Linked DNA regions of Mus musculus: regions 1, 3 and 4 are each reported to be linked to region 2. Evidence: microRNA targets listed by miRTarBase, many of them from high-throughput screens and not tested one by one. Region 2 holds a microRNA gene; each other region holds the end of a gene's coding sequence.
The links. The annotated mature microRNA mmu-miR-127-3p reads UCGGAUCCGUCUGAGCUUGGCU and lies in region 2 at 1,548-1,569, opposite strand. An mRNA with a match to its seed (bases 2 to 7 or 8) in the 3' UTR can be bound and repressed. Matches are read on the target gene's strand: a 7mer-m8 pairs with bases 2 to 8, a 7mer-A1 pairs with bases 2 to 7 and ends in A, and an 8mer does both.

Region 1: the mRNA of Utp6 is a reported target of mmu-miR-127-3p. Seed matches in the 3' UTR shown: 8mer at 2,269-2,276.
Region 3: the mRNA of Acat1 is a reported target of mmu-miR-127-3p. Seed matches in the 3' UTR shown: 8mer at 1,297-1,304.
Region 4: the mRNA of Bcl6 is a reported target of mmu-miR-127-3p. The part of its 3' UTR that is shown has no 7-base or 8-base seed match.

The regions. Positions count from the first base shown.
Region 1 is chr11:79,933,184-79,936,303 of GRCm38, reverse strand. Utp6 (UTP6 small subunit processome component) reads left to right here. Exons shown (of 19, transcript NM_144826.3): 19 at 195-2,348. The coding sequence ends at 349. Among named protein-coding and RNA genes, the nearest start is that of Utp6, 28 kb to the left of the region's middle.
Region 2 is chr12:109,591,337-109,594,456 of GRCm38, reverse strand. It overlaps Mir127 (microRNA 127), which reads right to left and starts at 1,611; the gene lies at 1,542-1,611. It overlaps Rtl1 (retrotransposon Gaglike 1), which reads left to right. Exons shown (of 2, transcript NM_184109.2): 2 at 1-3,120. It overlaps 6430411K18Rik (RIKEN cDNA 6430411K18 gen), which reads right to left and starts at 2,920. Exons shown (of 1, transcript NR_002848.3): 1 at 1,606-2,920. It overlaps Mir433 (microRNA 433), which reads right to left and starts at 2,742; the gene lies at 2,619-2,742.
Region 3 is chr9:53,579,979-53,583,098 of GRCm38, forward strand. It overlaps Acat1 (acetyl-Coenzyme A acetyltransferase 1), which reads right to left. Exons shown (of 12, transcript NM_144784.3): 12 at 544-2,687. The coding sequence ends at 2,567. Among named protein-coding and RNA genes, the nearest start is that of Acat1, 29 kb to the right of the region's middle.
Region 4 is chr16:23,963,398-23,966,517 of GRCm38, forward strand. Bcl6 (B cell leukemia/lymphoma 6) reads right to left here. Exons shown (of 10, transcript NM_009744.4): 10 at 1,653-2,871. The coding sequence ends at 2,728. Among named protein-coding and RNA genes, the nearest start is that of Gm31527, 23 kb to the right of the region's middle.

The sequences.
Region 1 (3,120 bases), not on the chromosome of region 2:
CTTTAACACTACACAGTGCTTAAATGTGTCAGAGTACCTTATTTTATTCATATATATTTACATTCTCTTAATTTTATGTGCGGAAGTTTCTCAGAACTTTTTAACTGGCTTAGTATTAATAGTTAAATTTGCTTAATTAAAGCCTTCCCAGTTTTCTAGCTACGTTTACAGTAGTTTTTTGGTTCCTTTTGAAGATCTTTGGATGGATTACATCAAGGAAGAATTGAACCATCCCTTCGGTAAACCTGAGAACTGCGGACAGATCTATTGGCGAGCCATGAAAATGTTGCAGGGACAGTCAGCAGAGCTGTTTGTAGCTAAACACGCCATGCACCAGGCTGGCCACTAGTGGTCGAGCACCACCAGTTGGCTGAAGTTGTGATGCAAGTCTCGGGGCAGGTTTGTGATGAGCTGGTGTGTGAATTGTCGAGAGCTGGCAGAAGAACGGATTGATTTTTGTAACATACTTTTACTTGGTGTTAATCTTTGGTTCCAGAAATGAGTACTGCTAGTGCCTGTTAAATCTAAAATACACAGAAATCATATGATTCAGCTTCAATTCTTGTTCCAGGCTAAGCATATACAGCTCTAATCTAGACTAGGTGTGAGGGACCCAGTTCAAACCCAAGAGAAAGTATAGTTTTGTGTGTTCTCTTCTTGTTGTGAAAGCCTGCATGATACCTGTGGAGATAGGAGGGACGAGGGTGTGGATGGACTGCCTCAACCCTCCAGCTCCCGAATACTGATTAAGAGACTTTATTTATGAAAGCTTAGTCCTTATGGCTTAGCCATGTTTACCACCTGGCTGATCACCTCTCCTCAGCCCCGTACATTCAAGTTCCAAGTCTGGCCGGCAGATCTCCCACCTCTCAATTCTTCCCAGAGTTCCGATCTCTTCTTGGATGTCCCACCTTTACTCTCCTGCCCAGCCATCAGCTGTTTATCAAACAAATCAGAAGTGATAGAGGAGAATGTGTACAATCTTCGATGCAGGTGATGCTTCATAAAAATAACAGTACCAAAGTCCGGACAGTACTCTACTGGTTCAAAAATCAACACTGAATACTACAAAGACAGCCTTTACAGTGCCCAAGATTATCCCAACACTAGGGCAGAGCAGAGCAGAAAGTCACTTAGATCACCGAAGTGAGGCTGAACAGTGACTTCTTTTCCTGTATCTGAATTGGATCTGTACTTTTAAATCAATCATTCAAGAAATAGCGCCTTCCTTCACCTGCAGGAAAAAGGGAGACTTGGAAGATGAGTGACAGAGAAGGAGGCGCTGGGTATTGGGAGAAGTTTGTCTTTTAAGAAGGTTGAGGTGGCACAGGAAACGATTTACCCCAAGGATGGACAGGCCAAGAATGGCATGGAGGATGCCCAGCTTTGTGGCGGGGGAGGGAGTGGGAAGTGCCTCAGTAGGGGGTGGAGGGGCAGATTGGCACAAAGGAGGGCATTTGGGGAGTAAGGGAGGAAGCTGAAATAAATCCTTTCATTTTTTTTGATACTGGGTATTTGTTTGTTTGTGATAAACCTAAATTTGCATTTGAGGCAAGAGCTTTACCACTGAGACAGACCCCAGGCATCTTTTTATTTTCTGTTTTGAGCAGGTCTCACTAAGTTTTGGCTGGCCTGAAAAGTTCTCAGGTCTAGGCAGGCCTTGAACTTTGAATGCTCTTGCCTCAGCCTCTCAAGTGGCTGAGGTTACAGGCCTCAACAGCTGGACCTTAACATTTTGATATCATTGGGAAAGTATTTTGAACAAGTTACTTAATAGTAAGCCTTAATTAATATTAAGTTCATTTAATAACATGGAAAACACCTAATGAATTCATAGCATTCCCTTGTCTTAATTAATCTCCTGTGGCTATAGTTTTTTAAAAGTATAAACGATATTGGTGAAGATTCTTGTCAATCTTTGGTTACATTCACTGGCACTTCCTTAGGGGACTTACTTGACAGTGGAATTACTGAATTAGGTAAAAGAACAAAATTTGCCAATTTGCTCTTTCCAGCATCACATGCAGGAGGCAACGCCCTTGTCTGCACTGGGGATTACGTACTTCCTTTTCATCATTTTATAATTCACCACTCAGTAGATGAAAGCGGTACATCATCACTTAAGCTACTTTTTCTTATTAATTTTTGTCTTAAAAATACATTGAGAGAGCCAGGGGAGATGGCTCAGCGGTTAAGACTGACTGCTCTTCCAGATGTCCCAAGTTCAATTCCCAGCAACCACATGGTGGCTCACAACCATCTGTAATGGGATCCGATATCCTCTTCTGGTGTGTCTGAAGACAGTGTAGTCATAGACATAAAATGAATAAATAAATCTTTAAAAAAACAACTCATTGAGAATGTTAATCTTTTGTTTGTCGTTCATTTCTTACAGATAAGTTTATGCTTCTCTTCCCTTTGTTTGCTGTTTTTGATGCGGGAAGATTTGTTTTGTTTTGGTTTTTATGAGACAGGGTTTCTCTGTGTAGCCCTGGCTGTCCTGGAAGTCACTTTGTAGACCAGGCTGGCCTCGAACTCAGAGATCCGCCTGCCTCTGCCTCCCGAGTGCTGGGATTAAAGGCGTGCACCACCATGCCCGGCCAAATTTTTTTGTGACTCTGTCCCTTCTCCCCAGTACTGATCAGATCTATGACCTCACACATGCTATGTGAACACGCTTCCATGCTATACCCTCAGGTGTTGATTTTGATTTTAAGATAATATTTATTTATTTTATATATATGAGTGCTCTATCTGCATGCACACATGTATGCTGGAAGAAGGCATATCACATAATGGTTAAATGAGCCACCATGTGGTTGCTGGGAATTGAACTCAGGACCTTTGGAAGAGCAGCCAGTGCTCTTAACTGCTGAGCCACCTCGCCAGCTCCACCCTTAGTTTTAACGGCCTTTTCAGTTTCTCCTCTTGCTTAGTACAACTGGATCTCTTCCTCAAGCAGTTGACTAACTTCTGTAGCACTGGGTAGCCCATCTGTTTGTTCTCTTCTTGGTTCATCATACGACCTTCAGACCCTTAGTATATATTGAATCCTTATGCATGTTAGAATATATGGTGCATTTTTGAACCTTTACTGTGGTTTTTTTTGGGGGGTGGGGT
Region 2 (3,120 bases):
CGATGGTTCACAAAAGGAGTCAAGCTATGATTCAAACCCGGAGTTAAGTGATAATTCAAACCAGGAGTTAAGCGATAATTCGAACCAGGAGTCAAGCGACAGTTCAAACCAGTCAAGTGATATTTCAAACCAGGAAGGGTCGGAACCACTCAGTGAGGCATCCGATTATAGCATGGATGAAACAATCAACTCATCCGAGACCCAGTCAGACCAAGATGATACTGACCTGGGAGATGACGAGGAAGAGGAGGAAGAGGAAGGTGGTGAAGAGGAAGGTCAGCCCAAGAACTCTCCAGAAGAAGTCGTGGCCACCATGGGGAACGTCATCTCGCTGTTCCTCCGGATGCAAGACCTAAAAGAACAACAGAGAGTGGCAGAAAGGCTCATGATGCAGGCTATCAACGAAGGTCGCCTGCCCTCCCTCAGGCCCTTCTCTGGAGATCGCAGAGACTACCATGAGTTTGTCGTGCTCTGCCAGATGACAATGCAGAACTACCCAAGTATGCTATACAATGATGAGCTGCGGGTGAAATTCGTCATCCGCCACCTGACTGACCTAGCCTTGGAATGGGCCAACGACCTCGTAGAGCAGAACAGCCCAGTGATAAACAACTTCTCAGCCTTCCTGGAGGCCATGTCAGAAAAGTTTGAGTATCGGCAGACCCTGCGTGTGGCGGAAGACGCCATGTTCAACATCAGGCAGGGGAACCGCTGTGCGGCCGATTACATCAATGAGTTCCGGGGTCTGATACCCACCTTAGGCTGGCCAGATGAAGTCCTGCAGGCCCACCTGTGCCAGGGGCTCAACGAAGAGATCAGGCACTATCTGTTCCGGATCCCTCAGCCGAATTCCCTAGACAACCTGATTGTACTTGTCCTGCAACTTGAAGAAAAGCTGGCAGAGAGAAGAGCATTACTCAGGCTGCCACCTGAGTCGCGCCCAAGAAGCGTAGCCTGGATGGATGCTCCCGCCCCAGAGAAGTGGAGGGTAAGCAGCTGGCTGCCCAATGAGTTCCACCCAGACATTGATCGCGATCACCTCTTCTTACTGCTCTTGGTGAGAGTGGACCCCTACCACAGTGTCGCAGTGCGGGCCCTGGTGGACTCAGGAGCAGAAGGGAACTACATGGATGAGAGGTTTGCCCAGGAACACTATGTGGAACTCTATGAGAAGCCTTATCCACAGATAATCCAAGGTGTGGATGGCATCCCAATTGGCAATGAACCCGTCTGGCTGTGCACCGAGCCCCTGGTATGTGTCCACCAGAAGCATTATGAGTACATCGAATTTGACATCTTACCTTCGCCCAACTTCTCCATCGTCTTAGGCATGAAGTGGCTCCGAACCCATGCCCCTGAAGTCGACTGGATGAGAGGCCGGTGTACCTTCCACTCTCCCTACTGTCTGCGGAATTGCTTCACCCCACCTCCACCATGCATCGCACTAGAGACATACAGCATAAGCCTACTGCCCGGATTGCCACACACATACTCAGACCTGGCCGACGTGTTTAACCCGAGGGAGGCAGATGATGAGACTTCCGACCAGCCAAGCTCAGACGGATCCGATGATCTTTCTGAATCAGAGCCCTCTGAGCTTCAGCAGGCTGGAGACAGTGATCAAAGCGGCGTCTTTTACGAGTCTGGGGCCCGAGAGACTTTGGAACCTGTGAGCGCCAGGATGCAAGAGAAAGCCAGGCAGCAAGAGAAAGCCAGGGAGCAAGAGGAATACTGGATACTGTATGACATGCTGACTGACAGACAAGACTACACGCAGATGGTACCAGAGCTATTCGACCAGCTACATGGAGCGGCATGGTTCACAAAACTGGAGCTGCTTGGGATTAAGGAAAGTGAGATGAGGCACACGGTCACACACACGGAAGACACTTGGAGAGCATCGTTCGGTTTCGGCCTTCACCAGATGAGATGCTACCGGCCCTTCACAATGAACTCATACTCTGACGAAGGGAACAACATTGTTCACTTCATCCTAAAAGACATCCTAGGGTTGTTTGTGATTTGCCATGGCAGAGAGGTCCTGGTCTACTCAATGAGCCAGGAGGAACACTCCCAGCATGTCCGCCAAGTCCTGGTCCGCTTTCGGTATCACAACATCTACTGTTCACTGGACAAAACTCAGTTCCATCGCCAGACCGCTGAAATCTTGGGCTTCAACATATCCCCCAAAGGGGTGAAACTGAACAAGAACCTTATGAACCTCATCGTGGGGTGCCCTGTCCCTGGCAGCAGGAGGTGTCTTCAAAGTGTGATTGACCTTGTCTATCCCTATCGCCACTTCGTGGAGAACTTCGCTGTCATCGCAGCACCCCTAGTGAGACAACTGCTGAGTTCAGAGCCCTACTACTGGGGAGAAGAGGAGCAGGAGGCCTTGGAATCCCTGAAGAGGGCTTTCCGCAAGTCGCCCGTTCTCTATCACCCTAAGCCTCAGAACCCATTCTACTTGGAAACAGACATCACTGGGTCATTCCTGTCTGCCTCCCTGGTCCAAACCGACGACGAAACTGGCAAGAAATCTACCTGTGCTTTCTATTCAAGACCCCTCTCTACAATGGAGGTGGAGTACCCTCGAGTGGAGATGAGGATCCTTCCAATCCGGGCTGCCTTCATGGTGTGGTGCCGCTACCTGGAGAACACCGAGGAGCCCATCATGATCCTTCTCAACACAGAGGATCTAGCCTCTCTGAATAATGACAGGCTCACCGTACTTCTCCCCGGGCATTGGGTCTTCTTCTTCTCACACTTCAATTTTGGTGTTATGGAGATGCCAGCTGAAGGTGACACACAAGCACTCTTCCGCAGATGTTGGAACCAGAGAGGCTTCAGAGCAAGGTTTCTGCGCCCACTGCTGCTTATGTCCATTAGGGCAAATCTAAGGTACTTTGACAGATCCTCTGAGACTGAGGATAAAGAGGATGATGAAGAAGAGGAGGAGGAAGATGGTGAAGAAGAAGAAGGGGAGGAGGAGGAAGATGGTGAAGAAGAAGAAGGGGAGGAGGAGGAAGATGGTGAAGAAGAAGAGGAGGAGGAGGAAGATGATGAAGAAGAAGAAGGGGAGGAGGAGGAAGATGGTGAAGAAGAAGAAGGGGAGGAGGAGGA
Region 3 (3,120 bases), not on the chromosome of region 2:
AGTGAGTATTTCATTCTGTAGACTGTCTTTCCATTCTATTAGCTTTACTGTGCTGAGCTTTCAATTTTGTGTAATCCCATTTCTCAGTTCTTGCTCAGCTTTCCTGGGCTGCTGGAATCCTGGTCAGTATTTGTTCTATTCCTGTATTGTTCCTGTTTTCCTGTAGAGTTTCAAGGCTTCAAGTCATAAATCAACATCTTACCTTCTTTGATCCATTTTAAAACTGTTTTTTTGTACAAGGTGAAAGTAAAAGTAATTTGAGGGATTTCTTATGTCCCTGTTGCTCCCAAATAACTTCAGGGCATTGCTGTGCCACCTCTAGCCCATTTTAGCTCCCAAATAAATGAAACAGAGACATGGTATTTTTATTAACAAGCTGCATACACTATGCTGAGCAGGTTCTGAGCTGTTCTAACTCTAAGGCTGCCTGTTTCCCAACCATGTGGTCCTTTACCTTCAGCCTGAGTCTTGTCTTTGCTCTTTCTTTCCTCATGACTTTGTGAACCTTCCTGGTTCATCCACATCTGTAACTTTAATGTTTTTCAACACCCATTTTTAATGATGGTTCTTGAACGCTTTAACATCCCTTTTGGCCCACCTCCCACTAGAGGTAGTGGGAAATACCAGTGAAGACTCCAGACCCACAAGTGTTGCACAGCTAGGTATATAAGCAAGCCCAACCAAACCTCCGTCACTGTCTGCTGGGCCTAACATCACAGGCCTCTAAACATCCCAAGTCCTCTGCGGGCCTGGGTCTTGTCTCAGCATGAGCATCTGTCTCGCTGACATCACTTTGCCAATCAGCCCGAGTCCATTGAAGAGGTACGAAACTGCAGCACACCACAAGTTTTTTGGATCGTTTCTCGGTTCGTTTCTCTCTATGGAGTCTCTACTCCACCTCCTTCCCTGCTTGTTTCTGTAGTGCAGGGATAGAAAGAAAGAACCCAGGGCTTTAGGTCTGCTGGGCCAACACTACCGACTGAGCTACCTCCCCAGTCCTCTTCTGTCTTCTTGGTGATTGTTCCCTTCATTGATGTTTAGTGACATTCTTTGTCTTCTCTGACAAGCTGCTTCAAACCTAGCTTTTATAACTGACGGACAAAGCTACACCTACTTGATTTTGTGCTACTTGAGAGCACGTGGCTTCCCATTCTGCCACTTTTAGTCTATGAGTCTTTGCCAATGAGGTCTCTTGTAAGACAATACTTTGTTGATCTTTTCAAGAGAGAATTTTTTTCTCTGTGTAGTCCTGGCTGTCTTGGAACTCATTATGTACACCAAGCTGGCTATGTAGACTCGGATCCTCCTGCCTCTTCCTCCCAAGTGCTGGGATTTAAAGGCATGCACACCCAGTGGATCATGTTTTTGAGATAGTATTTTTAAATTTTATGTTGAGCCCATTAAAAGTTTGGGCTGAGGATATTTTCTCATTACAGTAATTCTGTTGATTCTCTGGCTGGCTTGAATACTATTTTTTCTTCCTTCCTCATTCTATAGCTCTTCTGGTTTACTGAGTTGGGCATGGTCTGTCTCTCTCCTGGCTCTCAGTTCCTCTCCTGGAATGTATTCTTTGTTGTGCTCTTAGGTCTGTGACTGCTGCTTCCTGCTCTGTTTTGTTTGCAGGACTCCTTTAAAGAGCTTCTATGTTGGCTTGGTGGACATAGATTGCTATAACTTGTGCTCACTTGGAAGACTTAACCATATTTTTTAAAATTTTCATTCACATAACTTTATTTGAAACCAATTTTGACTGTCCAAGGATTAAAGTTCGAAAACAAAACAAAACATAAACAGCCAGTGTTCATTCTAATGGCAGAATAGAAGTCCATGGATGTTAGATTATTTTGGGGCTTGGGAGAGTCAAGGAACTTTGTTGCTGCTATTGTGATATTCTCATTTCTTTGGTGTATTTAGATGTAAAAATGCTGGAACTTTACCCTGCCTTCATCAGGAGAGAACCCGGTTACAGGTTATCCCCAAGGCTGGCTTCTGCTGTACCGGCAGCAGTGAGGTAGAAAAGCACAGGACCTCATTTCTCTGGTTTCTGCGTGCAGTGCAGTGTCCAAGTCCTCCCTGCTGTGTCACCCAGTGTGGGTCCTGGGAACCAAATGTTTTCTGTGTGAGCAACAGATGCTCTTTTGTTCGTTTGTTTGTTTCCAGAGTTTCTACTTCTATGTGTATTCTTGGCTGTCATAGAAGTAGCTCTGTGGACCAGGCTAGCCTTAAACTCAGAAAGATCCACTTGCCTCTATCTCCAAGTGCTGGGATTAAAGCCATGTACCACCCAACTAGCAACAAATTCTCTTAACTGCTGAGCCATGCCTCAAATACCTATATTGGTATTTCAAATAATAGAGTATCCAACTGTTTAAGTTTACAAAAAAATAAAATAAAATAAAGAAGAAATTTTTATTTGTAATTTAAGTGTGTTTTTTGGATATGATTTTTTAAAAATTTTAGTAGAAAATAATAAAAAATGAAATAGCTTATGCTGAATATAACCTGGCCCAAGGGAGTCACATTTACTTCAGCCGGTCACATGGAACTGTCTCCTAAAACAGGTTGTCTACAGCTTCTCAATCAGCAGGGCGGAAGCACCTCCTCCTCCGTTGCAAATACTAGCCAGACCGAACTCTCCTGGCTTCAGGGCATGAGCCATATGAACAACAATCCGGGCTCCAGACATCCTAGGATTAAGAAAGCATTTGGTTCTTTAATCAAGAACAGAATTTAGGACTAACCAGAGAAGTTTCTATTCCAAACTAACTGCCTGAAAATCCAGTACTTGTGGGTAAGTACTTTTAAGTTTAGACAATGAATTTCAAGAAGTGAGTGATAACTCTTATAAAAACCTGAACTTTTTTACTCAACGCTGTTAGTGTCCCGGACAGTTTTATGTCAACTTAATACAATCTATAATCATCTGAGAGGAGGGAGCCTCAATTGGGAAAATGTCTCCCTAAGATCACGCTGTATAAAAGCCTATAGGATACTTTCTTAGTTACTGATGTGGCGGGCCTGGCCCCTTATGGTTGGTGCCATCTCTAATCTGGTGGTCCTGGGTTCTATACAAATCAGGCTGCAAGCAGTAAGCAGCACCCCTCCTCTATGGCTTCTTCA
Region 4 (3,120 bases), not on the chromosome of region 2:
CTGTGTTTTATTATAGCAAAAGAAAGTGAACGGAAGCCAAAGCTAATACACCTTCCTCAATACACACTTCAACCTGCGGTCCTAGTAAACCTTTCCCTCAAAAACTTCCATGATGCAGAGAGTCTTAAACACATCCTAGTGTTTGAGACACCTTTGTGTGTGTGTGTGTGTGTGTGTGTGTGTGTGTCTGTCTGTCTGTGTGTGTGTCTGTGTCTGTGTGTGTCTGTGTGTGAAAATGCATTCACTCCATGATTTTGTAATAAAATTCTCTCTCCCCTTTGCTGTGGGCTATACTCTTAATAACTCCGTTTAGAGATGTTTCCCTTTTACTTATTATTAATCATCGGCTGACTGCAGTAGCTCAGTCTTTGATCTCCCTTTTGTCGGAACGCCACCCTCCCCGTCTGCTCCTCCGTCTCCCTCATAAATAGGAATGGTACAAAAACAGACTCTCGGGAGCAAAAGGAGCCTGAGGCCAGCTTCCCTCAGGCCCGTGAATTGTCATTCCTGAAGCTGTCTAGTCCGTAAGTTCTTCTGCCAGGTTTCTATGGGAGCTGAGGGATCGGTTTCCCCCTTTTCAAAGAGCAGGGTGAGTTGAGGCCTCGAGCTGGCAAGTCCTTTAAAGTCATTTTCAAAGGAAACCCGAGCTGCAAGGCCTTGCGGTTGGCAGAAGGTGGCGTGACTTTCTGAAGCTCTCTTGGGACTTCGGGTGGGCAACTCCCCTAGCTTCTCAACACGTGCCCAGAGACGGCAGCAACACCACTGCCAGGAGCTGACCAGTAAGTAGGCACGTGTTCCCTCCCCACTGCCACCCAGGAACAGGAAGGGGACGCAGGCTTTCTCTTCTGGGCCCATTACCAGAACCACACTTGTCTCCCCAGTTCTCAGATCCTGTCAATCATACTTGGTCCTTGGGGTTTTCTGAGGTAAAATATCCACGGGTGCCAAAGCAGGCCAGCGTGAACTTACATCTGAATCACGGATGCATAAATGGTCTCGTTAATCCAGTCTACTCTTGGATGGGCTGGGACAGAGACCCACAGCAAAAATAGCGACCTGACGCACACAGGAGGAGGTGGCTGAGTTCTGACACTGGGGTAGAGGCTTGCTTGGCCTCTGGCCAATCATAAAGCTTTCAAGTCTGTGAATGTCTGTCGGTCACCCAGGAGGCTCTGAATGCGTGGATGCCGAGAGATGTGTGTGGCTTCAGCCGGATGCCTTTGACCTGCCAGGCGTAGCCAAGTAAAGAAAATATGTTTCTAAAGCCAGAGCCAGGATGGGACTTCTTACTTTAGAAAAGAATAATCCCAGAGGTGGGAGAGGCTATGACTCGTTAGAGGTTGGAGAGACTATGACGTTTGTGTCTAAAGAACAAGGACTGCAGTTATTAAGAGTGAGGCTTGGAGCTGGGTCAGATACCCTACTTGACCTCCAGGCCTAGTGTCTGGGCTCTGTAGCTGATCCTGGTGTTCAGGATCAAAATAGGCAGGAAGCTACCTGGACAAGCCCCAGTCTGGCTCTCAGGCCAAGCTCCTCTCTCATACCTCACTGGCCAGCGGGCCCCACTCCCACGCCCCTAGAACATTTCCCACCGAAGCAAAGACCACTCTGATCTCTCTCCATGCAAAGACAGATCCTCAGAAAGAGCCAGCTCGACTTTTCAATGTTTTATTCTTATGTTTTGTACAGCTCTATTTTACAACGCACTAATGCAGTTTAGACACAGCCAAACCCTGTCTCCGGAGTAATTATAACGACAAGCATGACGCAGAATGTGGGAGGAGTCAAACATTCCCAAAGAGAGTTTAGTTAGTGACAACTTCAAGTCCCTGTGTCTGCCTACACTTCAAAAAGGGATGGCGCACACCCGTCCATCATTGAAAACTTCCGTGTAAAAAGGCACCGTGAGGACACATTACAGGTATGTACAAACTGAAAACTGGAACAAAAGTATACATTTCTCCTTCTGCAGCTTTTTTTTTTGTTCTTTTTGTTTTTAATACACACTTTGTAAATTTGTAAACCTTCACTTGCAAAAAAATACAAATACACGGAGGCATTTTAGACAAAATATTTTCTTACTTATACAGACGCAATACTTAAAATAGTCTCTTAAGTGCTCTTTCTCAATAAAGATTCTCAGATCCGTGTCTGCCTGCAGATACAAAATCGAGCCTTTAACACAGTTTTATATTTTCAATATATCTTTTTAGGTTTATATATTTATATTATATATATATATATTTATATATTTACAACTCTGCCATATATTCCTTCACCTTTGGTTAAAAAAATTAAAGCCTTCTCTTTGACAGCATACTGAAGTCTTGTCTTTTAAAACAATACACATTTACATACAAAAGAGACCTCTGTTCCCACACATCATTTACATTCCTCGGTTGCAACCTGTCAAGTCAGAACTTCTGCATTCTCCCCTACTTTGATATAGAAAATGAATTTGCTTTTTGCTGACAGGGTTTGCCTTACACATAGGAGAAGAAGCAATAGTATTTTCTTAATGTTTTATGGCAGTGTGGGAAGGGGAGCTGCCTTGGCTCCCGGTCCCGCAAACCCCACCCCCACCCCCACCCCAACTATGATTTGCACTAGTGGATGAGAGAGGCACTACATCATGGGATGACCTTTGTATAAAGTGTTACAGCATCCTTTGGGTAGATTCTGAGAAGGGGCTGGAGAGGAAAGGGCGAGGAACACTCCATGCTTCATTCAGCAGGCTTTGGGGAGCTCCGGAGGCAGGTCAGCGGCCGACACGCGGTATTGCACCTTGGTGTTGGTGATGGCGCCGTGCTTCTGGCGCAAATGAAGTCGCAGTTGGCTTTTGTGACGAAAGTGCAGGTTACACTTCTCACACTGAAGAGACAGCAGAAGCCAAGTGTTAGCTGTCATCCACTCGAGAAACGAGTCAGTGCTCAAAAGCCCAGAAGAGAGGCAACTCCGTGAGGGTTGGGTGCAGGCACCTCCTCCCTCTCAAAGGGCAGATTTAGAATCCATACAAATCTTGGCTTCCACTGGAGGTTAGGTATACACTGTGCAAATGCCCCAGCCTCCCCTTCAGCTCACGGGTCCCTCGGACTTAAGATGTCCTTCCCTGACTTAAAT